Elephas maximus indicus: one gene and its partner. The protein of the gene in region 2 interacts with the protein of the main gene of each other region in a biochemical or structural test. Links are inferred from orthologs where the notes say so. Each region holds a gene or a part of one and is shown on either strand. Other genes may lie near its edges.

Region 1 (15,172 bases), on a different chromosome or scaffold from region 2:
CGGAATTCTAATGAGCGGCTCTCCGGACCCTCGGAATTCTTTTCTCCCCGGGAGAGCCTCGCTCGGGGCGGGATTACCGCTGCTCATTTGGGAGGAGGCCGCTGGGCACCCCCCGCCAGAGGGACCCCGAGGACAGGGGTGGCCTGGAGGAGGCCGAGAGCAGCGCGGCGGAGGGCGGGCACCTGCGTAGGGAAGCCGTGGACCCCAGCCTCCGCTGGACCCGAGGAAGGGGCACCCGGGCCCCTGCCGCCTCCAATACCTCCCCCCTCCCCAAAGCCGGTGGAAAGTAACGGCCAGCAGAAGGTTCCCACTGCAAAGGGCAGGATAGTGGGCCGCCTTCCCCTCCTCCTGGGAGCCTAGAGTCTTCCCCTCTGCTGGAAATTCAGCCCTTCTCCACCATCCTATCCCTCTGTTGTTGCGAGAGGCCATTATGTATTTATTTCCTTTACCTACAAAGTGTGTCTTGACACCTTGAAAGTGTTTCTCTATTAAAATGTGCTGCTTCAATGCAGTTTAGGAGACACACACAGGCAACACTGGGGATAAGGGGGTACGAGGAGAAACGGTTCCTCTGAAATGCACTGTTAACTATTTTGCTAAATGCACCAACTTGTGCTGGGAGGCGGAGAGATCCTTACAAACAGTCTCCAAGTTGACGTATTCGCGCGTGTGTAATGCCTTTCTTTCTTAGCTATTCCTCGCTAGCGACAGCATGTGGCGTTGCAAGCCCAGGGAAATCAACATGACACAACGTACTGGAGCTGGGGTCATCCAGCTGCAGGCTGGGAGCTGCACTCGGCTTTCCAGGCCCTCACAGTGCAGGGCATCCCAGCTGGGCTCTTAACAGCAACCCATGCTTCTGGGCTTGCGACCCTCCAGATGTTAGAAGTGGTAACTCCAGGGCTTATTACCTCCCACCAGGGCCCTCCCAAAAGGCTTAGCGAGTGAGTTAAGTTAGTTTATAATCCACAGGCGCCCTGCAGGGACCAGTGAGGACGCGGGGCTTAGGCCCTGGACAGACACTTGAATGATTGGGAGGTGTTGGGTCTTAAACCCTAAAAAGAGAGGAAGGATCTAGGCCAGACCTCAGGAAACCGGCAAGGCTGCAGAGCTGGGCTCTCTCCCAGCCACGTCCTAGTCTCCCTTTCCTCCCCCTCCAAGCCACTCTTTCTTCCCAGTCTCCGCCATCTGCAGGGAGGGCTCCGGAAACCGGTGGGGTGGGGCTAAGAAAGCCAAATCCCCTCTGCATCGGGGCGTCGAGAATCTTGGCCTCCGAGTAATCCCCAAAGATGGGGGGCAATTCTTGGCTTAGGGGGGCCCCTCAGGGGTATGATCTCACAACAGCAACACTCTAGGCATCACCCCAATTCCTCTGCCTCCCTGTCCCTGAGGCCTCCCCCCTCCCACATATATACACCACTATTAGCCTTTTTCCCTGGGATCTCTGCCGTCGGGGGGCCCACAGCTGACAGTCCTGAGGGCCAGACGCGGGGGGGGGGGGCGTGGTCGGTAGGGGGAGGGGGAATATGCAGAAAGGCGACTTCCGCCGCCGCTCTACCTGCTTTCACCGAGCAGTGGATGTGCGCCTTGGACTCGTAGTAGACCCAGTCGAAGCCGGCCTCTACGGCCAGGCGGGCCAGCATGCCGTACTTGCTGCGGTCGCGGTCCGACGTGGTGATGTCCACCGCGCGGCCCTCGTAGTGCAGCGACTCCTCCGAGTGATGGCCGTCCTCGTCCCAGCCCTCGGTCACGCGCAGCTTCACTCCTGGCCACTGGTTCATGACCGAGATGGCTAAGGCGTTCAGTTTGTCCTTACACCTCTGTGGAGAGAAGGGGAGCGAAGATCCGGGCAGGGATGCGTTAGCGTCAGCCGCCTGAGCTGGGGTCCTGGGTCTTGCCCTCCGCCCTCCCTAGCCGTTGGGGAACCCCTGCCCCGCCTGTAGCAAAGCTGCCAGTCGCCTAGGCCAGGCAAGGGGTGTGCAGAGAAGTGGGAGACAGGCCCGGGAATGGGGCCCAGCCGGCTCGGAATGAAGGCACGGGGCGGAGGAGGTGGGGCGGGAGCTGCCTGGAGGAGCAGGTTCTCTTGGGAATGGGCTGAGGGCCTGTCTCCAGATCCAGAAATAGCTAATACTCATCCTGTGGCCTGAGAAGCAGATGAAGTTTCTTTGGAAAAAAGAAAACTATTTTGACAATGGCCCCAGGAGCCCCCCAGGTGCCTTCAGGCGTGCCCCCACTCCCCCAGGTGCCTTCCGCTTTGCCAGCCCCCTTTCTCTGCACACATTTCTCCACACCTGTGCAAGCTCCACCTTGCTGCTGGGCTAAAGCCCTCACCGGGACCCTCAGTCAGAAGTTCACAAGGAGGCCAGAGAGAGGCCTAGGGTGGTGCAACGTTGCCGGAATAAAGGAAAATACACTGTACACTTCTTAAGGAATGAAAAGCCTGGTGTTATCTCTGGACCCTCTGGTCCCTTCTGCCCCCATGACTATCTGAGGTGAAAACTAAGCCAAAGGTAAGATAGGGAGGTGGGAAGCTGATAGCAAAGCTGGAGGGGTGGGAGAAGGCCAGAGTGAAAAGCAGCCAGGTGAGTTATAATTTTCAATACGGGCCAGGGCCTGGATGACAAACATTCTTTATCTGGACAACCACATTCTTTTTTCTCTGTAGAACTCTTTTCTGCCTGGGTTTTCTGTGGTCTGATTGTGTTTCTTGTTTTCTTTAACCTGTTCCCTTCCTCCCCTCTTGTCTTCTTGGCCCCAGTGTAGAATGGTGTCCTGCAAGTTTGAAGAGCAAACTTAAGAGGCGAAGGGAGGGGGTGGGTGTGTGAGTGTGTGGACCGAGCCAGGGACTTTGTGTGTGAGAGGGTGGGGGATGGGGAGCAGGCTAGGAAAACATCCCCACCAGAAAGAAAGACCAGGGCACAGAAAGGCCTGAAGCCTCACCAGCCCCTTACCTGGGGGAGTCTTCCTCAAAACAGCCTTTCTGCCCTCCCCCACCCTATACACACACACACACACACACACACACAGAGGAAAGGAAGTCACATGCAGGAGTAAAGAAACATTGACTAGGTTTGATAAAAACTAAGGTAAAATGGGACTTGGGGTTGTGGTATTTTTCCCCATAATCCTCTGGTTTATGGATTAGAATCAAATAAGGATGTGCTAAGTCTAGTTAAATTGTGTGTGTGTGTGTAGTACTAAACTCACTGGAGTTGACTGCTGCTGGCTGCTGGTAGGGGATTCTAAAAAGGGGGGTTTAAAACAATAATGAGGCACCCCTATGCCAGGTAGACAGAAGCAGAGGCTGGAGAGAGACATTCAAGTTGACTTCTGTAAAGTGTAGGACTGACCTCCCACATCTCCTCAAGAACAGAAAAGATGATTCCTTAAGACACCTCTTGGTTTCCCTGATGGAAAAATAGCCTCTGTTAAGGACCCTAATAGTAGCAGTGTATCGGAACTCTTTTGCTAAGGGAGGGGGGATTTGTTAAAAGGACTGCTGTCCACTTTTAAAGGGTATGTCACAGATTGTTCAACAGGAAAAGTTCTGTGTACTTGGCAGCAATAAAAAAGCAAGCAGTAACATGGTTGTAGAGTTAAACATATAACAAATGGGTAGGGGGTAGAGGGTTGGGGCCGTCCTAGTAAGAGGTCAACGCTTGCAGGATTTGGGGCCTGCTGGTTCTTTTAGTTCTTAAAAAAAAAAAAAAAAAAGGCAGAAGGGGAGAATTTGAGTGAGGTCATCTTGAGGACTGAACGCATTTTACATGAAAATCAATCAGACCAGGGTCAGTTTTAGAGCCTGGATATGAAGCCGGGGTGCGCGCAGGCGCACACACACTGACATGCACACAAACACCCCGAGCCTCCCTTCTGCTCCCTTCTTTGGGGGGAGATGACGCCTTAAACGGCGTTCCACCCGGTAACTGGGCAGGGAGACGGTGGGGCGGGGAGGCTTCAATCCCACCTCCCAGGCCCCTTGAGATGCGCCACTTGGAAAAGACGTGGAGGAACCCACGCGAGGAGCCCCTGGCCGAGCCAGGCCCGGTGAGTGGAGGTGGCGGCGCTGGGGACCGTCCGAGGCCGAGGGGCCGGCCTGAATGTGTCCCGGAGCCCAGCTCCCTCGTCGGCAGCTGACATCCCGGCAGAATTCTGGCCGGCCCCAGGGCCGGGCGGGCCTCGGCTGGCGGCTGCAGGACGCTCCTGGCTCCAGCCCGCTAGCTTGTCGGAGGCAAAGGCCGTGCAGCCAGGACCGGTTGTTCATTCACTGGGTCATGTGCCGCGAATCAGCCCGATTCTGTGCAGTCACCGTGAAGCCCAGCGGGGCCGCCTCGGCGCGGGCTTTGTGTCCGCAGAGGCAAAGTTGTTCCACACGCCTCAGCTCCCCGCCACACTCCCTAATCTCTACACAAACGAGCGCGCCGAGGAGGCGCTCGGCAGTATCAGTCGCTACGAGCAGCCGGGCGGGCTTCCCCCGGTGCCTAGGCGTGGGAGGGGCCTCCACCTCAAAAAGACATCCAGCTCGGCAACACCGCCTCTCTGTACCCCTCCAGCGCACAGAGAACCCCCATCCATGAAAAAGGAAACCCCCCCCAAGCTCACACATTGGCTCCTTTGCCTTGCCCGGCGGCTGCAGAGCAGGCAGGAAATGCAAGTAACGCGTCCTTTCAGGCTAAGCCCCCGACTTCAGCCTCCAGACCCGCCCCCGGTGGGCCTCCTACCCCTCGCAGCGCCCCTTCCCACCCGCGCCCCGCGAGCCGGCACCCGGGGCCTGCGCTGGGAGAGTGGTCTGTCTGCGTTCCCCTCTCTCGGGTTAATATTAACCAGGAGCTCATGCGTTCCAGAACTGCTCTGAAAGTTCCACTGGGGAAGATCTCGCCATGGTTGAGGGACTTGGGCAACGGTCACCTAGAGAGACCTAGAGACACACCCAGAGACAAGGAGAGAGACTAGACGGAGGAGGAGACCCTCAAGACGCACACCTGAGAGCAGAGTCCAGGCGTTTCTGTAAAAGTGAGGAGCCCAGCAGGCAAGCAAGTTCCCCGAGAAGCTCCAGACCTTCGCGCGGCCTGAGAGGCACTTTCCTGCCTCTGAAGCCCACACGTTCCCTGCCCTTACAAGACCCAAGACGTCTGCCTCTCTCACCCCATTCCTGTCCCCGCCCCCCTTTAACTCCTAGAATCTGCAGAAGAGGGAAATGCCAGAGGAGGGACAACCAGGGGGCACATTCCAGCCGCCACCCCCAACCATCCACGTTTTTAGGGTACCTGGGGGGGGTCAGTGCTGTAACCCTGGCCTGGCTCTCCCCCCCACCCCACCCCACCCCACCCCACCCCACCCCACCCCCACTTTGGCCACCCTTCCCCCCTCCTTTTGTGTTAGGAACGGGAATGGCCACTGCTGAAGGAAAAAAAAGTATTTGTTTTCGTTTCGTTCGTCTGAGGGAAGTTGACAGAAGGTCAGAAGTTCAAATGCTGCTAGCGAATGCGGCGGCGCGAGAGGCGCGGCGTGGGGCGGGCGCGGCCCCGTGTTCCCGGGCAGGGCGGGCGGGAGGCGCGGAGCGGGATGGAGGGCTCCTTGCGGCGCCCAGGGGGCTCGGAGACCCGGGAGGCCCGGCCGCGCCGTCACCACACCCCTGCCTCCTCCCCGCACGCGCCCCACCCCCGCCGCCGCCGCCGGGTTAATGAGGGTGATTAGCGCCCCATTAGGATGAGCCCCACGCTCGCGGTTCTGGAGCTGATTCCTGCGTGTGCGCGTGCAGGGCAGGGACTGCGCGGCGGCGGCGGCGGCGACGGCCCGAGCCCAGCTCCGCCGCACAAACTGAAACCCTAGCCTCTGAGATCGATAACCGAGGAGTAAGTGGAGCTGAAAATGCGTCTGACTTGGGGCTCGGCTTCTTGGGCCTACAGCTTCCCAGAAGGGCGCTGAGGACCCAGAGCTCGGAGCAGGGGGCGCGGGACTCGGTGGGGGTCCCTTGCACCCACAAAGGCAGATGCTGACCGGCCCGACTCGGGACCCTCCGGTGTCTCCGCCCCGCCGCTTCTCTCTTCTCCCCTCCCCTGAGTGCGGAAAGACCCCCGGGAAGGCTCCTCGCGGGGGGCGAAGGGGACCAGGGGGCGGCGAGGCCCGGAGAGCCAGAGAACTTCCTCCAGCCGGCCGCACGCCCCCGGCCCCCTTGGGGCCACGCAGAGTTAATCGTGGCTTCTGTGGGGCACAAGCGCGCGGCCACACTCTTGGGCCCGATTTAAGGTGGTCGGGAGCAGATGAGGGAGACCGAGGAAAGAGAATCCTCTCCTCCACTCCCACTTCGCCCCCACCGGGCAGCTAGAGCTGGTTCCCCAGCTGGCCCTTCCCTTTCTCCGCACCCGCAACAAGCCCAGGAATGGGGTTGGAAGCAGAAGAGCTACGAGGTAGCTCCTCTCTGCCTCCCCCCGCCTCTCCTCCCCCCCCTCCCGCCACACTTGCGCCCCGCCAGCGCCGCTCCGTCAGCCTGTGCGCTTCTAGCCCTAAAGGTAGGATTTGAATATTTTAATAGGGCAATAAAAATGATGCTGACCTATATTTGCGAGGAAACCCATTTCTAGCTTCAGTTACATATGCATGGAGTTTCAGAAAGTCTGGAATTGGCAGGTAGCTTTTTAGCCCAGATGTCTCAAAGGAGATGGGCGAGGGGAAAGGATTAATATTTTGCTTTGGTTTTCCTTTCCACCCCTTTCCCATTAATATTTATTCCCTCGTAATTTCTATGCAAGCTGATTGAAAACTGAAGTGATGCAATGCCAGTAAGTTCCAAGTCCCTCCCCTAAGGTACCTCGGGCTTAGGAGAATGAAAGAGCATCCTTAAAGAAATATCAATATATTCACACTCCGATGGGCACAATCACACTCGATGGAATCGCAAGGCAAGCTATGTGACACAGTCATGGACAGCTAGAGCCGCCTCCGAAGCCACTGCCTTTTGTCAGAACCGCCTTCCTGGCTTTTCCAATGGAAGATTCTTTGGTGGGGGGTGGTCGGGTGGGGGTAGTCATGGGAAGAAAAAACACAGAAGAGAGGGGGAAAGTATGAGCTTGGAGATCTAACGCTTCGAGCCTACATTTGTAGCAGTGACCTGAGGCCACTTTATGTTTATGGGGGGGATTCCCACCCCCCCTCTGCATCTCCACTCCTGACTCTCCAGTAAAGCCACAGACTTGGAAAAGGCAGACGCCCGGAAAGTGAAGGTCTCTCCAAGTTACAAGCCAGAGCACAGCCAGGGTGGGGAGAGCCATCCTAGTAAGACAGAGATGAAATCAGGGCCATAAATGGGATCACATACCCAGCCATTCTCACCCCCGCCCATACCCTAAACTTCTGGACCCATAACCTCCATTCCTCCAGGAAGAGGAAGGGGTGGCAGGTAGGTAGGAGGGTGGGGAAGGACAGAGTGAAATCGCCTTTAAATCTGCTTAAAAAGCAAAGAAACCAAGTCTAGAACGGCTTCGTTCCACGTAGCTCGCTTTAAAGGAACACATTCCACGCCCCAGAGCTGGGTTTCTACCTGAGTCATCAGCCGGTCCGCTCCGGTGTTTTCTTCATCCTTAAATATGATGTCAGGGTTGTAATTGGGGGTGAGTTCCTTAAATCGCTCGGAGTTTCTCGAGATCTTCCCTTCGTATCTTCCACTGGCCCCTAGGGTCTTCTCGGCCACATTGGGGATAAACTGTTTGTAGGCTAAAGGGGTCAGCTTTTTGGGGTGTCTCCTCTTCCCAAATCCCCTGCCGGGTCCGCACGCCAGCCCTGAGCACATCAAGAGCGTGGAGACCAGGACCACCACCAGACATCTCGCCAGAAGCAGCATCTCGTCCATGGAGCCCAATTACTTCCAAGCTCTCCCGTGTGTGTCTGTGTGTGTGAGCGTGTGTGTGTGCGCGCGTGTGCGTGTTCGCTCTCTCTTGCGCTCTCCCTTTCTCGCTCCGGCTCGCTTGCTGCCTTGCTCTCTCCCTCGCTCTCTTTCTCTTCCTATATAACCTTGCCCGCCGCCGCTGCGTGGGACTCTCCACCGATCCCCAGCCAGACAGGTGCTGGAATGGCAGGCTGCCGGTCTCTGATAACGGAACACATCGGAGATGGGTCGCGAGACAGCAATCAAAAGACAAAAAGAGTCTGATTTTAAATGGTAGCAAGCCTAGAGACGCTTGTGAGAGAGGCTGCCTTTAGTACTATATTATAGCTGGCAGGGGCGTATCTGATTGGCCAAGGCAACACAAGCTTGTCTTCTGATGTTTAACCCTCAAAAAGGCTACAATTTTTTTTTCTGTTGCTGCTGCTGCTTTATTTTCACCTGAAGGCTTCGAGTAAAAAAAAAAAAAATCTTTACTAAAACAAAGGTGGGAGGGAGGGCGAGGCACATTTCTCAGGATAACATCAATTATACCCTGCTTTGTGTGTATCCGTGTTTCCCCCTTTACTTTCTTGGGAATGGTAGGTGCTTCAGTTAAAACCAACTTAAGTTTTTAAAGGACAGCACAGACCCCCCAAAGCTTTGATCATCAAACAAATATCTCCTCAAATGTTTCAGGGGCAAAGCTTGCCAGGTCTTATTTAAAATTGTTAGGGATTTTAGCATTCAGGCCAGGTCTCCCATCTGAGCCTCCTCTGCCTGAATGCTCAGCATCTTTGGAAGAAGGATAATTATGAGTGACCACAACTTAGTAATGTGAGTTGAAGTGCTTCACATGCCTTAGAAAAACTTTAAAATACTGCCACTTTATTGTTTGTATCAATGCATGGTTTCTGAAACCTCTGAAGATAGGATGGAGGTGTGTTAAGGGTAGGTACAGAGTGAGCTGATGGACTGTCAAGGTCCAGGGGCAAAGTGGGTCTCAGGTGCTGGACACCCCCAGCTCTGGGAAGGGAGCCTGTGCTTGTGTGTGCTGTGGGCGGAGGCTCATTGTGCCTGGAGGGCAGCAGTGAGTGGGCAAGGCTTTGCAAACACCACCCCCACAGATCAATAGGAGCAAAGTGCAGGGCCAAGGGATGAGTGAAGTGTAAAGTTAAGGCTCCTTGCTATGGCGTCTGGTGCTGGCGCTAAATGGAGCTGGCCACATCATGGGCTCTGCAGCCTGGAGGGGTGCAGGTGGCTGGAGCAGCTCCGGCTCTGGTCAAATAGGGGTGTCCTAGTGTCCAGAGAACAGCAATATGAGACCCCCAATCCCTGCAGTCCTTCCAGAAAACACACACTCACACACCCACAACTTTCTAACTAAACTAGAAAAATAAAACCTGACACTCCCTCTTTTTGCAGAACATACCCCCATCTCAACCTCCCCCCATTCCACGCATAAGCAAGAATACCTCTGGAGTGGGGCAAGGGAGTGTTATTCATGTGGACTAGAAATACTGACCCTGACAAATAATCAGATACTGTGAGTGTTGGCCTCTGCAGTTCAGTATTCTGCCTTGACCCCAAACCACGCAGTGGTGTGAGAACGGTCTGAAGGTTCACCCAGCAAAACAATGGGAAGTTGCTAGCAGTCCATCAATGTTCCTATGCCCAAATCTTTTTTTTTTTTTTTGAGGGGGTCATCTTAAGCGACATCTAGCTGCACTCCACCCATTCGTGCTCCTCTACAAAGGTTGACAAGTCCCTCCCCCCTCCCCCCTCGCATCTCTCTCTCTTTTCTATTCTGTGATTTTTGAAGAACCAAAATACCGAGCCTAAGAAGAGCGCTGACCTCTGGGCAAGGTGGGAAGGCAGCACCCAGTTCTATCCAGAAAGACTCAGGCAGGAACGAAGAGTTCTCCAATTAGCCGGAGACAATTCAACTCTGTTGATAAACCCGGGGCTTAATTTATTGTCCAGGGTGTGTGTGTGTGTGTGTGTGTGTGTGTGTGTGTGCGCGCCTCTCTCTGTATATTGTGTGCTCCCAGGAAAAAACTGATACAAAAAAAGATATAACGCTGTATACCAAAGAAGGTAGGCTTGTTTGATGTGGTTACCTCGGGTAGCACGTGTTGATGTAATATCACTAAATAGTGCCGCGGTTTAAGAAGCGATCCCGACAGTGTGGGATACTTGCAAACCTTTTCATCACCCTCCCCCGCCTTGGCACCTCCTTCGGCCCCAGTGCCTTTCCTTTCCCTTCTCTTTTTCGCTCTTCGCGCTCTCCCCTAAAGACCTAGGTGCCCGCACAGGGCGGGAGCGCCCGGGCGGCGAAGCTGGGGGTTGAGGCCAGAGACTCTGGGGCTGCGGGCCGCGCGTGTACCCAGCAGCCAGCAGGGCTCCTGCGGCGCAGACACGCTGGGGAGGTGCGCGTCCGGTGCAGGCAGTAAACGCACGTGGAAAAGTCTAACGCCCCCAGCGTGCCGGGTGTGGGACTTGGGTTATGAAAGCCAAAGCCGAGCTGGAGAGTCCAGGCTGCGGGGCGCGGTGGGCGGTGTGACCTGGGGGCCCGGCCGGGCTCTCCCGGATCAGGAAAGAGCCGAGCGTGACTCCGGCGGCGCGGTCCCTCCCTCTTCGCAGAGACCAGGAAGGGGACGCGGCGCGCACTGCGCTCGGGCTCCGGCGGAGGCTCCCCGGGAGGGCCGGCGCCGAGGCCACCTCCCTCCTCGCCATCTCCATCCGGCCCTGGAGACCCCGGAGAGCCTGTCAGCGGCCGCCGTCTCAGGGGCTCGTTTGGATCCTCCCGATTCAAAGAGTGATGGACAAATCGCTGTAAAATCCGCCACTGACGCCTTCTTCCGGAGGGCTTGCTCCCGGCGGCGGGTTGCCCGGGGAGGGGGAATAGGGACAAAAATCACGCGCAGTCCGTGTGCATTGTCTTAGGCACTCAGGGTCTGCATTACTGGGCGCCCGGCCGAGCTTCCCGGGGCCGCGGCGGTCTCCGCGCCTCCCTCCCCCTCCCACTTCCCCTTTCCTTTCATCTCGCCCACTTCCCATTTCCCAGACACCAGACACTCGCTCGTCTTCCACCTCCAGACACCAGATGGCTCCCTCTCTTTGCCTTTCCCCCTCCAGACAGTTCGGCCCCTCCTTCTGCCGGGCAGCGGTTCCAAACCCCAGCCGTCTGCCCGTGCCTGTCGCGGCCAGGCGTCCCGGGTCTCCCGCAGACCCATCTCTGACTGATCCGAGCTCGTCTCCTTCTGGTGGTCCTCCACATCCGCCCGGCCCACTCTCCGTCCTTCTACCGTCCACCTCGCCCTGCACCCGGCCGTGCCGGTGAGGACAGGTGGCTGCCTCTGTCTCAGGCTCCGGCCCCCCAGGAGGCGCCCTTCCTCGGAACCGCACCTTTCCCTCCATTTCGACCCCAGCCGCTAGATGGCCTCCTCACTCTGCCTTCAGTTCTGGAGTGCCGGGTTCTGGTTTGGGTGTGTTTGGGAATCTCGGGCAGAACCAGGTTGGGAGGCCCCGGGAAGCGGGCTAGCCGGTTTCTCCATCCTCCTTTGAACCTGGTTCCAGGTTTAGTGCAGACCCCCCCCCCCCCACTTCTGTATTCACTAAGCCCCTGTCCTCAACCAAGCCCCTGTGACGTTGCTCCCAGTTCTCCATGGACTTCCAGTCTCTGGGGTCTGGCTCAAATCTGACATTCCCAGTTTCCCTCCTCCCCTCCCCTTTCTGATTTATTTTCCTTATGATTGTACTCAATATCTTTCCAGCCAGTCACCCAGTTTCAATTTCTTTCCAATTTTGTCAAATTGAATTTCTGTTGGTGATGACAATCTCCTTGTAATCACCAGCCTGGGATTGTCTCTGCATTTTGGAGGAATGCTGCTTTTTGGCACTGTTATCCTAATCCCCCAATTCAGCCTGCCGGGAGAGGAGGGAGGAGAGGGGGAGCATGTTCTCTGGGTTTAGGGCTTGAGTCCCCAGGTCCTGGACAGCACCAGGCTCTCTGTGGCCCAGAAGGACCAGGGACGGCAGCCACTATTCAGTGACTGTAGCCTAGAAGTAGGCAAGGGCCGGGTGCAGCTGCTGGGTGTCCTCCACCCACTCGTCTGCCACCACTGAGTCCTCAGTCTCACTGCAGCGGAGGTCAGGCCTGCGGCCATGGCAGCAGGAGCAGCTGGGGAAGCAGCAGCCAAGACTTTAGACAAGATAGCTTGGCTGCTGGCTGGGTGAGGAGCTGCGCTCTGCGGCATTTCATGTGTGGGCTTGATGCTGGCTGTGGACCGTTACTCTGCAGTGTGGTGCGGAGGAGGAGAGGGCACTGCTAGGAGAGGCAGGAGCCTGGGCAAAGCCCCACTCCACCTGGGCCTTCCTGAGGCGCTTTCTCTGAAGGAGGGAGTGCAGATGGTATCCTGAGGTCCCTATGGATGCAAGCATTGCTCTCGCCAGTTCTGTTCACCAAACACTTGTTGAGCGCCCATTATGCACCAGGGCTGGAGACACTGAGGAGGCGACGTGCACTTTCTGGAGTGGGACTTTCAGCCCGCTTCTGTTCCACATGGCATGGAGCCTCCTGGCAGGCAGTAGCAACAGCCTGTTCCTGAGAACTTTCACACTCAGGGTCTCATTTGCTCCACACATGGTAGACAAATGGAGCAGGTATTGCTGTTGTTGGGTGCTGTTGAGTCGATTCTGACTCATAGTGACCCCATGTGACAGGGTAGAACTGCCCCATAGGGTTTGCTTGGCTGTAATTTTTACGGAAGCAGATCACCAAGTCTCTCCTGCAGAGCTGCTGGGTGGGTTTGAACTGCCAACCTTTGGGTTAGCAGCTGAGTGCTTCACTGTCTGTGCCACCGGGGCTCCTCAGAGCGAGTATTAATATCTGGATTACAGAAGAGGAAAGTGAATTGCAATTTTTGGTGACATTTGTAGACTCACAGCCAGCTAGTGGAACAAAAGCTGTATTTTGTAAAAGTAGATATGCTCAGGCAAGAAATACATGTAATGTGGACATTCAGCCTGAGATATGTTGCTTTGTGAATTTGTGCTGATTCACTGTCTTCAAACCATTGCTCTACTTTGCTGAATCACTCAGTCTTCATTTTAAGTAATGGGTGTTCTTATTCCTAGATAATGTCTGAGGTATGTATAGCTTCTTACAGTTTCAAAGTGATTTTGTATCCATTCTGTCATAGGAACCTCACAGCTACATTTATGAGCTGCAAGGGAAGCAGTGTGGGTAGGTAGTCTTATACCCAGTTTGCAGATGGAGAATTCACATAAGTAAGTCACAGGGGGAAGTGGTAGAATTCTTGCTTTTCATGCCAAAGATCTGGGTTCAACTCCTATTCAATGTACCTCATGTACAGCCGCCACCACCAGTCTGTCAGTTGTGGGACTGTGTGTTGCTATGATGCTAACAGGTTTCAGTGGGCGCTTCTAGACTAAGATGGACTAGGAAGAAAAACCTGGTAATCTACTTTTGAAAATCAGCCAGTGAAAGCCCTGTGGATCGTAATGGTCTGATCTGCAACCAATCATGGGGATGGCGCAGAACTAGGCAGTGTTTTGTTCTATCGTGTGTGGGTCGCCATGAGTTGGGGGCTGACTCCACAGCAGTTAAGAACAACAATAAGTCAGTGGTGGAATTGGAGCCCAAACCTAGTTCTTCAATCCTAAATCTTGTATGCTTTCCCTATACTACAGGCTGCCATGAAAGTCTACCAGAAGACCATTATTCTTTAAATCTTTGAATCTTGTTAAGATACAGGTGCGGGAAAGTTCGTACATTAAACCAATAGTTCTAAACCCTGGTTGTGCATTAGACTCACCTGAGAAGCTCAAAAACCAACGAACCAACCAACCAACGACCAACGAACCGACCGACCGACCGACCGACTGACTGAACAAATCAACAAACAAAAGAACAAACAGTGCCTAGGTCTCCCTCCTGAAGGCTGAAATCAGAATTTCCGCTTTGTTGCCTTCCCTGATGGGAGGAACCCCAACAGCTCATGGGTGGAAGGGTTGGGCATGATAGTGGCCATGACTAGATCCCAGCTCTCCGGGTGGAGTCCCATCCTCAGAACACTCACTGGTCCTACTGGAATGCCCTTTGGCCTCTGGAGCCCTCTGCCCCCTGGCCATACATGCACAGAGACGCCCACAGCCCTCCCCACAGGGAGGGCTGACAGGTGTGTGAGAGTTTCAGATTCTTCCTTGAGAGCAGGTATTGGTCGGGGAGGACATGCGGGTGTGTGTGTGCATGTGTGACCTAGTGCCTGAAGGGTTGGAGTAGCCCTGGAGAAGTGCAGGCACACAGCCGGGGCACTGGGGACGCCACAAGAATGGCTTCTTACGGAGCCGGATTGTGGAGCAGGAAGTGGCCTGCCATCAGGGTAAGATGCGGAGATGTCTCTGCAGATGCTCGCCTCTGGCCGGAGGCTGTTCTGGGACTAGGGAGAAGGGTATACCCGGCTTTCCATGTCTTGCAATGAGCCCTCTCTGGGAAGTGAAGACTTAGGAGGCTGATTTTTGCTCTGCTTCCTGCTTTTGTCCTCTGCAGGGTGAGCTTGGTTTCTGTGGCTCATTCTGCCAGTCCTCAAGAGGGGTGCCTAGACCCTTCTTGGCAGCCAGCAGAATGCTTACATTATCTGGGCAACTTCCATTCAAACATTTCCTTTTTTTTTAAAAAAAAAAAGAGGATGCAATGCTGACATGCAGAAAAATAAAGGCTATTTCTTTACAGGAGCAAAATTAACTAGGTTAATCAGGTGCAGGTTGGCAGTCTGTGCCATACGTTTGCCTGAAAGAATCAGAGTAATCTAGATCCAGTCTTCCCTCGCGTGTAGCTGGAGATATCCTTTTCCATGTCCACACCATCCCTCTGGTCCCAGACCCTGTCGTGAATTTGCCTGTTGCAGCTCACCCATCATTGCCTTGAATCTCCATCACTGCCAAGGACTGAGTTATGTCCCTCAGAAATGTGTGTATCAATTTGGCTGGGCCGTGATTCCTAGTGTTGTGTGGTTGCCCTCCATTTTGTGATTGTAATTTTATGTTAAAGAGGATTAGGGTGGGATTGTAACACCCTTACTAAGGTCGCATCCCTGATCCACTGTAAAGGGAGTTTCCCTGGGGTGTGGCCTGCACCACCTTTTATGTTAAAAAAAAAAAAAAAACAAGAGATAAAAGGGAAGGGAAGTGAGCAGAGTGGGGACTTCACACCACCAAGAAAGCAGGGTGGGGAGCAGAGCACGTGCTTTGAACCTGAGGTGCACCCAGACCAAGATGCAGAGCGCG
Region 2 (15,178 bases):
CAAATCCACCAGCTGCTCCTTGGAAACCCTATGGGGCAGTTCCACTCTGTCCTATAGGGTCACTATGAGTCAGAATGCACTTGATGGAAACGGGTTTGGATTTTTGTTTCTTTGTTCGGACACTTATGGCTATGCATTTGCAGCCACAGCGCCATCATAATGAAATCCTTCCATTTGCCCGAGACAGACCTTCCATCGAAACCAGTGGTTCCCGATTTCCCATTTGAGGTGATTGCGCCCCACTCCCATCCTACCCCTTGACCTCACCCCTACCCCTGCCCACCATTTGCCAATGTCTAGGGATATTTTTGGTTGTTACAACCTGGGGCAGGGCAGGAGAGGTGTTTTATTCTCAGTGCCAGAGAGTTCCAGAGAGACCCTGGGGCAGGGTGTTAGTGGCATCTAGTGGGTAGAGGCTAGGAATGCTGCTAAACATCCTACGATGCCTAGAACAGCTTCCCCCCCCCCCACACAAAACAAGGAATTATCCAGCCCCAAACAGCAAGTGTGCTAAAGTTGAGGACACGCTGCTCTAAACGAAAAGGATGGCGAAACTCAATTATCTCCTAGGAATGCCTGGGTTCAAACCAGGACCACTGAAGTCGTAGTATCAGCAAGGTACAAGCTTGAGAGAACTTAGAGACACCAAGAATGCATTTAAAAAATAAACACACTTCTATTTCTCTTTTTTAAAAAATCAACTTCTGTCCTCCTCCCTTGATGCTGGCCTTGTGAGACGTTAATGACCAAACACAAAGGCGAGATGGGTTCATTTCAGGGCTGTTGCCTTTTTTCAGAAAAGGAGGGCAGGGGCTGGGCCAGCTTTTAGAAAAAACCAAAAAGCTCAAAGAGATAAATAAATGAACATTCTGTCACGGGAGAATCTGGACAACAAACTTGTGTCTGAGAAAAGGTTGGAGTGGGGTAAGTATGAAGGGAAATAGGTATTAAGGGAGATAGGAGAATAAAAGTGCTGAACAAAAAGGAAATGCCAGCAGAGAAATGGGCAAGGTTAAAAATAAAGCATTTCTCTTCTCTGCCCAGCAGAACGAGACTCAGATGAAAGCACCTGAGGTACCAGGGAGGCCACCAACTAAAACTCACTGCCACTGAGTTGATTCCAACTCATAGAAACCCTATATGACAGAGTAGAACTGTCCCACAGGGTTTCCAAGGCTGTGATCTTTACAGATGCAGACTGCCACATCTGTCTCCCAAGGAAGGGCAGTGGCAAACCTGGTGACCCAACCAAAGGAACCCACGGCAAGGCTTCCGGAGGCCACGCCCCTGTTCTCTGAGCCTCTGCCCATGCTGTTCCTTCTACCTGGAATGCAGCCCCACCCACCTCTCCAGTCTCTGTGCTTCCTCCTTCCAGGACATCCTGGAAGGCTTCCCTGCCATCTTTGCACTGCTGCACTGCATTCTAGCTGGTCTGTGTATGCCTCTGGATGGGGGTTCCTTGAGGGTAGGGATTGCGGCTTTTCACCAACAACTCTCTGGAACTCTGGCACTCAGAATAGGTGACCAAGGAATGTTTTCTTCTGAAATGAAAATCAGTCTCTCCCCCACCTTGCTGCCACCACCATGTATTTAATTAGTAGCAGATGTCCTGATACACTACATCATTCCCCATATTCTCTTACCAAGCCTCAATGACTCCATTCACAAATCAGCTCCATTTGGCATTTTCCACTTGCAAATATTATCACCCTAAAACCCCAGCTGGCACCCATCGTGTACTGACAACTCCTTAAAAGGCAATAATCATATAAATATTTTAACAACAGAATCAAAGAATTCTTATCACCAGTTACATAAAAAATATGTTCAGAGAGTCTTTCTTATGTAGCTCGTTTGGTCTGCACACTGTGGCTAATGTATTCAAAGGTCTTTATATAAAGTCCCATTCCCCAGGATGTTAAGCAAAGTGGGGAAGTCCAAGATATAGTCCAATAAGTGAATCCCTTTTATTTGCTGACTGTATTCAAAAGATAACACCATTTTGGCTGCTAGGAGCATATGTACAGTAAGCCTATGTGTACACATATGCACAATGGCAACTGGGTATTTTAATGTCATTTTTTTTAATCACAGGAGAACTAGCATTTTCCCAAACTGCCCCTCAGCATCTCTCTCCCCTTAAACTTACTCTTTCTATCTCCGGTTGCTTTTTAACTAGGGAAATATGCAATCCTTATTCATTTGCTTTATTTGTATAGTAAGCACCCTTGTTCATGCCCAAAATGTTCATAGTATTTAAGAAAACACCGTCTAACAGACTTCTTTGCTGACAGTGACGAGGACATTATCTAAGGGATTGAAGCACAAAATTACCTACATTTGGAGCTGCTGCTTCATTTTAATCCATTGACCTCTACTGTAATCTCTACAACAGCAGGGAATTCTTGCTCCTGAAAATAAGTACTCACACTTCTTACTGTTGACACAATGTTCGCTATCAGAAACAAGGCCTCTGCATAGCTAATTCCATTTCAAAATCATGTTTAAATTATAAAATAGTATGATGGCCTCCTTGGTGAGGTTTACTTGGATTTATGAAAGTGTTGCTTCTATAGAAGAATCTAGCATTGAATGAATGAATGATAGCTAAATCGAGGTCAAGGGAAAAGGGGGCCAAGTGACTTAAGTCATTAATTAATAGGCAAAGTGGACAAGGACAGAGAAATAGATAAGCCATAGCTTCTCATTTATAAAACGGGACATTTTAAATATTCAAACAAACAAAAAAACCCAAACCCATTGTCATCGAGTTGATTCCAACTCATAGTGACCCCATAGGGTTTCCAAGGAGTTGCTGGTAGATTCAAACCGCTGATCTTTTTGTTAGCAGCCAAGCTCTTAACCACTGTGCCACCAGAGCTATTATTAGTGCATATAAAAAACGTTATACAAACTACTGTGTTAGAAAAAAAATAAAGATAACAATAGCTACTTCACTGACTGGTAAGTGATAATGTATAATAAATGCCAAGGACGTGGCACTTGCTCAACAAGTGGTACTGTTAATATTCATTAAATCATATTCGATCCAAGAACCAGTGCACCACAAGGAAAGTGCCAACGAAGAAATGAGAAAATGCCAGCTCAGAGGCCACAGTAGGCAGAGTGCGGCTCTGTCTCAGGTGTGTTCCACATCCTGTCTCACTGAAGAAAAATTCTGCTGCCCCCCCCCACCCCCCCAAACTCACTCTCACTAAGCCAGCTGGAGCACCACAAGACAGTGTAGCATGTTTCTCTTCCTCCCAGGAGCAAAATGAGTTGTGTAATGCAGAAACAGTTGTTTCTAAAATATGCAAGGTTATGAAAATAAATCACATTACCTCTGTTTAAAAGAAAGTCTACCGAAAATTCTTGCTCAGAACAACAAAACCATCTTTTCTCATCAGCATCTACACCTGACAAGGACCAGTTGGCCCAAGTGGCGGAAAGCGCACATATGGCCAACCAGGAAGCTCCCTCTGCTCATACCCTGCTCTGTTCTAAAGCCCATGGGAGCTTTAGACATCTAGCCAATCACACTGTGTCCAGACGACAGCCCTGCTGTCCAGGCCCCACCTGAGCTCCTAGCCCTATTCCCACTCCACGTGGGGCCTCAGGCTGCCGGCCTGCTCTGAAAACAGAGTCCCTGCTGGTGCCCCTGCCTAGAACAAGTGCCTTCCTCTTCTTTCTCCCCAGGTCTCCCCAATTTGCCTTACCACCTCCAGGAATTTTTTTAAACTATTTTTTTTCTTTCTCATTTCACTGTAACAGCCCATTTCAACAGTGAATTCAAATTTAGTGCAAATCCATTCAACTCTAGTAGTTTTAAGGGCATGAATTATCCACACTCTCTTCCACTAGCCGCTCCTGCCCCTCACCCCTGGGCTGGGAGTGTCTCACACACTTCAGAGTCCCTTACAGGGCCTACTAACATAGTGCTAGGGGCATCACAAGTGCTCAGCAAACTTGTTGCTAAGGGCATTAAAAAAAAAAAAAAAAAAAGTTGCTGTTGATTTTGACTCATGTGTTAACAGAGTCAAAGTGCTCCACAGAGTTTTTGCCTTGGGTATAATCTTTAGGGAAGCAGTCTGCCAAGCCTTTCTTCTCATGAGCTGCTGGGTGGGTTGGAATTGCCAAGCTTTAGGTTAGCAGCCAATCACAAACTGCTTGCACCACCCAGGGACCTAAGTGATACTATAAAAAACCAAAACCAAAGCCACTGAGGTCAGGTCGTTTCGGACTCATATCAACCCTATAGGACAGAGTAGAACTGCCCCATAGAGTTTCCAAGGAGCGCCTGGTGGATTCAAACTACCAACTTCTTGGTTAGCAGCCATGGCACTTAACCACTACACCACCAGGGTTTCCAGTGATACTATTAAGTGCTCAATAAAACTCTTTTTTTTAAATCTACCAATGACATTGACAGGCTGAACTGAGGTAAATTATCCCACGAATTCAATTCAAAGAACACTCTTGTATTTATTATCAGGCTACTTAAGGCAGGAATGTTTTCTGGTCTTAATTATTTGGGCTACTATTTTAATTGTCCCTTCTCAATTAAAGACTCTGTCATTGGTTCGCAGAACACTGCAATGAAGCTTTATAAACAAACCAAGATTAACAAAACATTCTCCAAGGTTAGGCCCCAATTGCACCTTGAAATAAGTAACTTTAGCAATTATGCGTATAGTTCTTCAGCTTCCCAATTCTCTTAGGTAGCTTTCACTAGCCATGTCCCAGATATTTTGGTTAGAAATAGCTACATAATTACCCCAATCCTGTCCTCCCACCCTCTTAAGAGATGACTGAAGCAGTATTTAGGGGTTAAAATGTTTCCAAGCAAGACTAGTTACTTTCCAAAAAGATAATTAAGAAACAGCCAACTTAAAAAAAAAAAAAAAAAAAAGCTGTATTACTAAAGAAATGTAAAATGTTTCCATCTTCAGGACAAAAAAAAATCTAAGTTTACAACTGTTTATAAAAGCGGGGGCTCAAAAAACCCCAAATTATGGAATGTGGATAAAAGACTGGCAGAACCCCTTGGACAACTCCCGTGGCCCCTCCCTCCAAACACGCATCCTTAAAACACATTTCTTCTTTCTGCCCGTAAAACGCAGACTTCCCCCAGAATAATTCCATTAAAAAACCCCCACCCTCAAGGAAGCATTAATCCACTTTGCAAACATGCGTTCCAGTCTGTGCTTTACTATTTTTTTCCAACTCCTTCTCCCCCCCCCCCTTTTTTTTTGTATCTTGAGACAAATGTTTTTTTCCCCCAGAGTTGAAAGCTGTCCAAAAACAGGACCACACACGCGGCCGCCTCCGCAGGCCCGCGCTCCGCCCGCCCCTCCGCCCTCCCCCGCGCGGCGGCCGCGGCCGCCGGGGGCGCGCACACTCCCTCCTGCCGGAGGGGTGGCCTTCCCTCCTCCCCGCAACTCCTTTCTCTTTAGACGCGGTGGGTGGGGGTAGGGGAGGGAAGGAAGCCGAGGAGGGGAGCCAAGGCCGGAGAGTCCTTCCTCTAGCCGCGTCTCGGGGCGCTGCAGAGCCGAGCCTGGGCGGCTGCAGGCCCCCCGGGCGCGCCGAGTGGTCCGTCCCGCGGAGGGGCCCCGCGCCCCCGCCAGCCCGCCCTCGCCACTCTCTCCCACAACACCTAGCAAAGCGCAGCGCCCCGAGTAGATTACAGCGCGGGCTTTGTCGGGCGGGCCTGGCTCCCTGCCAGGAGCCCAAACAATAAACAATTCCCCCTGGTGTGGGCAGGGGGGTTTCTCTCCTTACTGAAAGGCTCTAGGTGTATTCGGGTAAATATCTTTATCAATTGAAAGCAGGGGAAGGGGAACGGGGTGGGGGTGGGGGAGTGGAGGAAAACAGGGCGCAGCAGCCAGCGCTGGGTCTCTTACCTTCCACCCACAGCTCCTCCACGTTGGTCTCGAGATTAGCTGCCTTTAATCCTACAGCAAAGGCCCCAAATATGAGGAGGCCCACAACCAAAAACTTGCCGCAGTTTTTTTGAATGTAACAACCCAGTTTAAATAAGAGTCTCTGAAACTTCGCTCTCAGCCACAGCGGCGCTTTCCGGCCAGTAGCCTTACCCTGGGGACGAAGCAGAAGGAAGGAGTGAGTGCAGGGGAGGCGCGGCACACGCACCCACACCCACCCGCTCGCGGGCTCCCGCCGGAGGAGCCCCCGTCAGCCCCAGGGTGCTGCAGCCCGGTTCTGGGTGGCTGCAGGTCGGGGACTCTCCCTCGGGGCTGGAACCCATCCGGTCCGCAAGCGGCGTGGGGCGGGGGGCGGGGGCTGATCATAAATCAAAGTCGGCCTGCACCGTGGGAGTGCATCGCGGCAACAGGCGGGCCGCCCCACGCACGTCCAGCGCAGCACCCCTGAGTGGCTTGAGGCGCTGGGGGAGGGGCTGCAAGGACAAGGGCAAAGACGAGGTAAGAGGAGAGAAATCACTCAACACTGGCAATATTTGCCAGGGACTTGGTAAGGGATGGGGTGCGTAATCTCTGCGGGTAGAGCCCAACATTTAAGAAAGAGCAAACCAAATTCCCCTTCGCCGTAAATCCTGCTATATCCTTCACCTGAGGGTGCCCTGGCGGGGACCGGTGCTAGGGGGCGAGCGCGCTTTGGGAACAATGTATTGTGGGTTTCCCTATCCGGACCCCGCCCGGCGTGGTAGTAAATGGGGATCCACGTGGTGAGCGCGGTCGCGGAAGCTCACTCGCGATGTATTTCCAGAGCGTTGGGGGACGCTGTGTGAGCTGAATTAGGAAGCGGGGGCAGCCATCTGCAACTTACGACAATATTTGTGATCGGAAGAGGGCAGCCACATAGATCTTTCCCTCCTCTCCCTTCCCTTCTGGTTAAACGTAAAAAACACCCGAATGCGTCGGGGAAGGGCCCAGGCCGGTGCAGGCGGGGGTCCCGGCTGGGCGCTGGTTGCTCCTGGCGGCGGCGTTTACCCGGCGCTGGCCGCGGCCCTAGCGGGCCCCCGTCTGGGTGTTCGCCTTCCCCGGATTCCACACATTTCAGCGAGCCTCGTAAACACAATGAACCCGGCCGCACCACGGATTTAAGGTGGCAATTTGTTTACAACTTTCCCTTTTCCCCCAGGCTCTGAGGATAGGCGGTTCAAAACCGTAAAAGAAATGAGGGTATGCCCTCGCCCGAAGATAATTTTTAAGGGAGCAGAAATTTCAGGCTCAACAAAAGCAAAACTGGCTGCCAAAAAAGGAAACCACCTTTATTTCGGTTCCCTCCCCCCCTCCTCTCTCCGCCTCCCTCCACTCCGCCTCCCCCTCCAAGATGTTAAGAAATGTGGCAGCATTATCCGGGTTTAAGCTGCAAATAGGGGCAAAGAGTGCAGGAGGAGGGGGCTCCGTGGCAGGGGGTACGGGGGCAGGGCAGTGTCGTGGACGCCCTCGAGGTGGTCCACTGGGGACCGCTTTCTAGGGCTCCAGAAAGGAAAGCCAGGGAGGGCGCGTGCACACACACACACACACACACACACACACACACACACACAGACACACACACACACCTCCACCCCCTGCGGACCTCAGACAGCCCTTTCCTCCCAGGACCGGAGGGAGGGTTTGAATTTTTCAATCCCCACTTGTCTACTTTTCCTGGAGGGGTGTGTGTGTGTGTGTGTGTGTGTGGCGGGGCTATCCCAAAGAGGAAGAGGAGGGAAGAGTGTGGGAGGAGAGGCGAGGAGAGAGTCTGAAATGCACCTTGGAAATCTGCTCCAGAGCGAAGGCGGCGTCGCAGTAGCTGGGCCGGTGCAGATAGTCCAGGTCCGGCGCCGCGGGGCGGCGCAACCCTGCGGTCCGTCTGCGCCTCCCGCCGCCACCGCCAGCCGGCCGCCCCACGGCCCCGCTGCAGCCGCTGCCGCCGCCGCGGTCCTGGGGCTCCGCGGCGTTACCAGCCGAAGCCATGTTGCCGCCGCCGCCGCCGCCGCCGCCGCTGCCGCGGGGACCGAGGCTTCCCCGGCGGCCCGGCGCGCTGCTGCCGCCGCTGCGGACTCTCGGAGCGCCCGGGCGCTCGGCTCGCGAGGACGCTGCTGGCCGCGGGCTGCTCCGGCTCGGGCTCGGGCTCTGGCTGACAGATCTGTTGCTGCTGCTGCTGCTGCTCACACGGCGGGCGCTGCTGCCGCTGCTGCCGCTGCCGGGGAGTCAGACCCTGCGCCTTCCATTGCCACATTGCGCGGGGGTCCCGAGGTCTCTGCGGCCGCCGCTGCCCACATCCAGTTCCCGGGAGGGCGAGAGCCGGCGCGCGGGGCGAGCCTGTCCCTTCGGCGCTCCCTCGGCGGTTCCTCGCGACCCTCAAGTCCCCCTACCCGCCCCCCGCCCCGCGCTCCGACCCCTTCACTGCAGAAAGCGCGAGCAAATCCCCGCCGCTCCTGCCGGCCGCTCTGGCTCCCTCGGCGTCTCCCCGGTCGCCCGAGTTGCAGCACAGGGCAAGCGCAGAGCCGCCGCTGCGGGGTCCGAGGGTGCCCGGCGGGACTCAGCGCTGCCTGGCCGGGACAGCCGCCGTCGCCGCCGCCGCCTCTGCTGCTGCTCCGGCGGTCGCTGGGGCTGCTGCTGGCGGTGGCGGCTCCTGAAGCTGCTGCTGGGGCTCTGGCTGCTGGGTTCGCGGTGGCTGCTTGGTCCCGGACTCTGCTTTCTTGTACTCCTCACCGACCCGCTGGACCATTCTGCCCCCGTGCAGCGCGCCGCTCTCGCTCCCGGGACCTGGGGACTCCGCTCTGTGTGTGTGCAGCGGGCAGCGGCCGCAGCAGCTCCTTGATTCAATAGATGAGATGGAAGAAGAAAAAAAAGAACTCTCTCCATTTGGAGAAAGAGGAGGAGGAGGGGAGGGGGTGGAGGGGGAGAGAGCGAGCGAAAGAGAAAAAGGCTGGAGCTCCCGCCCCCGGGGCTGTCAGATGGCTTGGGTTTCTGCGACGCGATTGGCTCGCGGAGGGCAGAAATTACTCAGCAAACATGACTATTATTAGCTGCTTAGCAACAGCTCACCAAAGTAGAGAGACCACCCAGGTAGGCAACCCCAGTGTGTGCATCCCCGGCTTCGGGGGGAGCCTCCAAGAGCGCCAACCCTCTCGCATGCAATACTTCCATTAAGGAATGCTCCCCCCCCCTTTCTTTCTTATTCCTTTCCTTTTTAACAGTGTCTTCTTTTTGTGAGACGCCTTTTGCGCGCACAGACCCACACACACGCACACACACGAGCGTTTACTTCTCGATAGACACGTAAAAAATGTAATTTTTTTTTTTAAGCGCTTAAACAATTTCTGAAATTCCTCAAAGAAAACCCTTTCAGAGGCACCTTGGCCTCAAGCTGCAGCAAATACTGGGAGGTCCGGCTTGAATTCCCAGGCCTGCACCAATAATGACAGGGTGGTGGATAGTGCGCCAGTGTGTGCCAGATTTTTTTTTTTTTCTCCTCTCTTTTCTTTTCTAACTAAAGGGAAGAGTTAGGCTCTCGCAGGGAACAACGCCTCGCATTAAGATAAACAAAATGGAAAGTTAAAGAGGAAAGCAAGGGCGTCGGGAAAAGCCACCCCTTTTTAAAGTTCGCCCCCCCAACCTTCTCCCCCCCCCCAAAAAAACGACCGCACAACCAGTATGAAGGAGTCAGTGTTCTTTCTATAAACGCAGAATCCAGACACCGAAGCAGACTCGTGAAGGCAGAGGCGTTTTTATTTGAATCTTAGATGTGACACAAGTAAAAGAGAAACGACATAATCCTTTTAACAGCCCGGAGTAACAGACTTGTTCCTTGAGAAAAAGTTTTCCAGCTTATTTTTTTTTTCCTTTGAACGTCTCCCTTTTTTATTAACCACATATCCTTATTTATTTAAAGTCAGTTTTAACTTTTTTTTTTTTTTTTTACAAAAACCGGTACGCATCCTGTTATATTTAATAGCAGCGTGACGTAGGGAGGAATACTTTGATGTTGGATTCTTTCGAAACAAACTGTGCTGATCCTAAGGACTTGTCCCAACACTGCGGCCAGGGTTGCCAAGACATCCCGAGGATTCGCTTCCCCTTGGGGAAGAAAACCCGGGACCCTTTGGGGTGGATCCTGGGGCCCGAGACAAATTATACTGTCTATACAGCTGTGCTTTTTGGTTAAAAAAAACTGTGGAGAGTGGAATTTGCTTTTCTTACGTTTGCAAGTTAAGTTCCTCCCTGCAGTAGAGACCAGACTCACAAACCCTCGATTCTGCCTCATTTTTTTTAATATTTATATTTTTTCTAAAGCGGGGTTGAACTGCAAAAGGACCCGCGGCAGCGAAGAGCCGACTGAGGCCATGACATGGGGCGATGTAGCTTTAAGATGCACACGGTGTGTGTTCATTGAAAAAAAAAGAAGAAAGGAAAAAAAGAAACCCAGATGGAGGGAAAGGGGGAGGAGCGGGGCGAAGGCGGAGTCTCCGCGGCCACGTGATCCTGGGCCGGGCTAGGCGCGATCCGCGGCCAGGAGGCCTGTGCGCGCGCGCGCGCGTGTCCGGGTGCGTCCGGGTACGCGCGCGCCCGGGCTCCTGGGTTACCCACGTCCGCGCGGCCAGGCCAAGCAGGTAGGAAGAGAGGTTGGAAGGCAGAGCGCACCCGCCGGCTCCGTGCCACTAGTCGGCTCCCCCCGGGTCCTAGGCCAGGCGTACTCATCGCCGGCGCGGACGGACGTGCCGGACGCGCCGTAGTACATTCCTGAAGGCGGTCCGGCCCCCTTACGTTGCCCAATGTCCGCGCGGCCTCTCCGCAGCTGACCAATGTCTGCGCGCACGGGTCCCTTCCCATTCACCACCCCGCGTCGGTGGTGCAGGCCAGCGCCGTGCTGCGGCGGACGCTCGGGCCATCGGGGCAGTTCTTGCTGGGGGCTCGCCCGCCAACCCTCCCCGCCCCCTTTCTTCCTCTCCTCCCCCAGCCTGCGGTTCCCTCCTCCCCGCTTCCTTCCCTTTCCCCTTTCCCTTCATCCTTCCTCTCTGGCCCCTTTCTCTACCTCCCCCATCTTTCTCCTCCTTTCCTAGCCTCGCCACCTTCCCTAGAGCGTTTACTCCTTCCTGGTTTCAGTTGGGAGGCCCTGCCCCCTGAATCCCAAACCAGCAACATGTATGTAGTACCCCGGGAGTGGTAGGGTGTCCTGGAGAATAAGGAGAGACAAAGAGAATAGAAGTGTCTGGGGGTGTTTACGGGATCAGGAGGAGGACCCGAGTACCGGGCCAGCGCGGAGATTCAAAACTCCTAATTCGAAAGGAGCACGTGATTTGATGCGCCGGCTCTGGGAAGGGCTGCAAAAACCCAGAAGGGAAGACAATCACCGTGCAATTACAATTACACTACATTAGTAAATAGCATCACAGTAAGACTGGGCTCGACGCATAGCCAGTTTATTCTTTCAGCAAATCCTGATCCTTATTACGTTTGATAATAGCATAAAGCAGGAAGGGTGACTTCTGATTCTAGCTTTTCTTAATTGAAAGACTCTGCAAACATCTCCAGTCAGGCCATTTCCTGCTTGCTGTTGGAGATAGCTTTTTAGAGACTTGGGGGATGACACCCCTAATTTTAAATGTCAGCCTTTTTATATTTGAGGCTAGCTGTATGGCTAAGGTAACCATATAGTCATAGACACGTTGCTATATTTCTCTTTTCAAATTTCTTTACAACATTTTAGACCAAAATACAAGTTTTTCCTCCCAATCTTTTATATGTTAGAATTTCAGTATAGCTACTCGGATTATGGAGTTCGAGAATGAAATTACAGGCTATGTACCAATAATGGCTATGTATTCATCTACACTGGCAGCTGCCCTGTAAAAAAAAAAAAAACTCTCCTGTAGCACCATTTTAGTGGTAAAGCGTCTTCCACTCGGGCTCATTTCCCTCAGTTTGACTTAATTCCTAAACGTTCTGAAGATTGATCCTCAAGGTTTTCAGTGCCCCTCGCCCCCTTGCCTGCTGTTGGTTAGGCTAACTTTTCAGCATCTCAGACAATGGTCCGGGCCTGTAAATTCTACCCATTGGTTCCAGAGCTCAATTCCAAGCCTTGGCTCTAACAAGCGCTATCTTAATCTCCCCAGCCCCCACCGCCGCTTCCCCTGTGGTCTGCTTTTTTCATACACAGAGATGAATTACTTTGAGGATCTAATTGGCCTTGTTTCTGTAACGTTTTAAGAAAGGGAAGAGGAGATAGTGTAAAAGCCTGCTCGACTTGGGTGGCCAGAGCTGAGGCTGCCCCCAATTTGCCTCATTGCTGATGCATGCGAGTGTGACATTCCCAGCGATAATGTTGCCCCTAATCAATCTGCCCTTATTTACATTTGTAAGCATTGTTGGCTTTAATATGCATGCCCTGTGCAGGGGACCGCTGCACCACACCGGGCTTGTCAACTTCAACGAACCACAAGGATTCCATAGACCTGATATGGGGCTCTTCGGAGAAGCCAGGCCTGCTAAGGTGTCTGCTGGGAAGAAAGTTCTCTTTAATGGCTTTTCTGGGTTTAGCTCTTCTTATAAGTTACCAAATAAGTGAGAGCTTGAGGCCCGATCAGCCATCAGGAGTTGCTAGTCTCTATGACACAACTGATTTTTCCCATTTCCCCTTTCCTATTAAAGTTGTATGGATCGTCTTTTTTTTTTTTTTTTTCCTTCTCTTTCTGCCATGATCCAAGTCTTCATTGCAGCCTGTCATTTTCAAAATAGATTCCTTCAATTCTCTGGCTTCCCTTCTTTGTTCCAATACTTCAAATACCCATGGCCACACTACACACATCTCTAAAATGACATCTGATTATCCAGATGATAAGATGACATTGAAATAAAACATCTGCCCTTTGTGTTTGGATGTTCCAATGATAAGCGCTTGTGGGATCCAGACTTGGTGAGGTTTGGAAAAATCACAGGGAGATTTCACTTTTCACTGGCTTTGCAGACCAGACTAAATGAGTCTTTAAGATCCAATGTAATTTAGCTAATTTTTGCAGTGTGTAAATGCATAAAGAGGTAAATGTATTCTAGTAATTTGACCCTTGGGCCATGTTATAATTGTGTCTACTGAGTTTAATACTCTCTTCCAGAAATGCAAACCATTGCAAACATTACATCGAGTCTCACAGAATTCCTGTTGAGAGGGTGGATGCAGAGAAGAACTGGGGAATTGATGTAATATTCTATTTATGAATGGGGAGTCCAGGGTAGGGTACAGGATGTGAGTGATGGGCCAGGGCCTGAGCAGTTCAAAACAGATACCTTGGGTAAGAGTCGAGTCTTAACTCAAGCCAGTATGCCACCATCCACCACACTTTCTTGGCGCCCTAAGAATGCCTTATTATTTTCTCACTGGCAGCTTTTGTATTTACCTAAAAGGTGATAGTAGAAAATGAGTCTTACAGGTTTCAGGGGGGAGGAAAAAACAGATTCAGCAGCCACAATATAAAACCACTGGGCTTGACTCCCCTCCCCTTCTCCATTCCTCCTCTGTCTCCTCCCCTTAGCCCCCCTCCCCAGGACTGGAGTAAAGGGAACAGCTCAAGCCAACTTGTCAAAATAATGCTGCTAATTATTCCTGATCTCCTTTAATGGGAAGCTGCTCCCAACTCCACAAAGGAGTAAATGAGAGCACTGGCATTTTTGGAGTTTACAGTGAGCTTGGGGTGGGGGTGGGGGGATGTCCTGAGAAGGTCCCAGACATCTCCACATTTATTACTCTGGGTTCAAACACTAGCTTGAAAGAGGAATTAGACTTTATACAGTCCCAAAAGCTATGGGTACTCTCCTGCAGGGCAGAGGGAATATTCACAGCCTACAAGGAACTGGAAAGAAAACATAGCATTGGCCCTTGGATTGATTTTTCCCCTTTATCTAAATATCTGCTTAGCCACACTACTTAACTCTAATGGATAGAAATGTGTTCTGTAAAGACTCAGACTCTGAAGATTTTTTTCCTCCATCTCTTTCTCGCCTTTTCTCTATCTCCCCGTCTAATAGATCCCTATCAAGCTTTGCATTTGGCAGAAGGCATATCATTCATTTCAGTGATCTCTGCCATTGGGTCTTGCATGAAAAAGAAGCTGAGTAACATGATCCCTTTGACCCACTGCTGGAGCAACAAATTTATTAGAGATATAGGCATAAGAAATGAAAGGGAAGTAAAACAATTCCAGCTTATTGTGTGTCTTTCTTTCATACTGCTAATCCGGTTTACACATCACGCCTACATGTCTCAATAGGGCTTTATACACTGTGGCAGAGGCGGGAGAAAATAAAAGGTGTGTGTGTGTGAGAGAGAGAGAGAGAAGGATAAAAACTGGAAAGACAGATATTTTAATCCATACTGATATCCCTCACCAGTTTTTCTATCTGTAGAAAGTTGAGGACAATTTGTAAAACAGCCTTTTTTCTTTTCATAAAATAATTCCATTTGATGCTAACTCCTGTTCAATAGCTTGTCAGATTATGACTAGATTATAACCAGAAATTAGATACATCTCTCACTGTGAGTTTGAAATGAAGCTAATACCCCAAATTGAGAATGGGCATATTAGAGGACAGGCCTATTGGTATCCACCTTGATCCAACATTTTAATTTAAAAAGACCATAGACTCAAAGGCTTTTACAGCCCTGTTGTGGAAGGAAGCTGGGTGACAATTGGAACACCCACAAACTCACAGCTGAAAGCCCCTTGTTTTACAACATGAGTACACAATGCACCTGAGGCAAGCAATTTATCCTGCGGTGCCACCCAGAAACAATAAGTTACAGTAACAATGGATGACACCAAAAAGCATTGTCTTTCTTTGTGGAGGCAATTAATTGCATGTTGAACTACTGGAGCCAAAACAATAATAATAATAATAATTTTTTTTCCGAGCACACACAGAATGATGAAAAAAGGACTATTGTAGCGGTAAGACCTCGGTTACCCAATTATATATTTAGAGCCACCATTGTGGGTCTTTATTATTTGTGTCTAGTTCTTTTCTATTTCTCCTCCCCAGGGAGGAAGGAAGGATGAAAAGGGAGGAAGACAGAGGTCTCCGGTGTCTTTTACAGACAACAATCCATACGGTTCTTCTTTGGTGATGGGAAGAAGTTAAGATGAAAACACTTTGAATTTATTGCTTATCCACACACTAGGTGTCATTTTTCACATGAATTTAAAAGCGTGGAGACA

Evidence for each region.
Region 1: the proteins of PTCH1 (region 2) and SHH are reported together in a solved structure, tested with the Homo sapiens proteins (5 studies listed by BioGRID and IntAct, with this or other methods). The link is inferred for Elephas maximus indicus from reciprocal best matches to the Homo sapiens genes PTCH1 and SHH.

Annotation. Positions count from the first base shown.
Region 1 is NC_064838.1:5,079,464-5,094,635, reverse strand, and holds the start of SHH (sonic hedgehog protein), read right to left. Parts: upstream 8,139-15,172; 5' UTR 7,850-8,138; coding exon 7,541-7,849; intron 1,821-7,540; coding exon 1,559-1,820; intron 1-1,558.
Region 2 is NC_064827.1:106,914,932-106,930,109, forward strand, and holds the start of PTCH1 (protein patched homolog 1), read right to left. Parts: upstream 7,973-15,178; 5' UTR 7,941-7,972; coding exon 7,737-7,940; intron 7,075-7,736; exon of another isoform or gene 6,802-7,074; intron 6,094-6,801; coding exon 5,901-6,093; intron 1-5,900.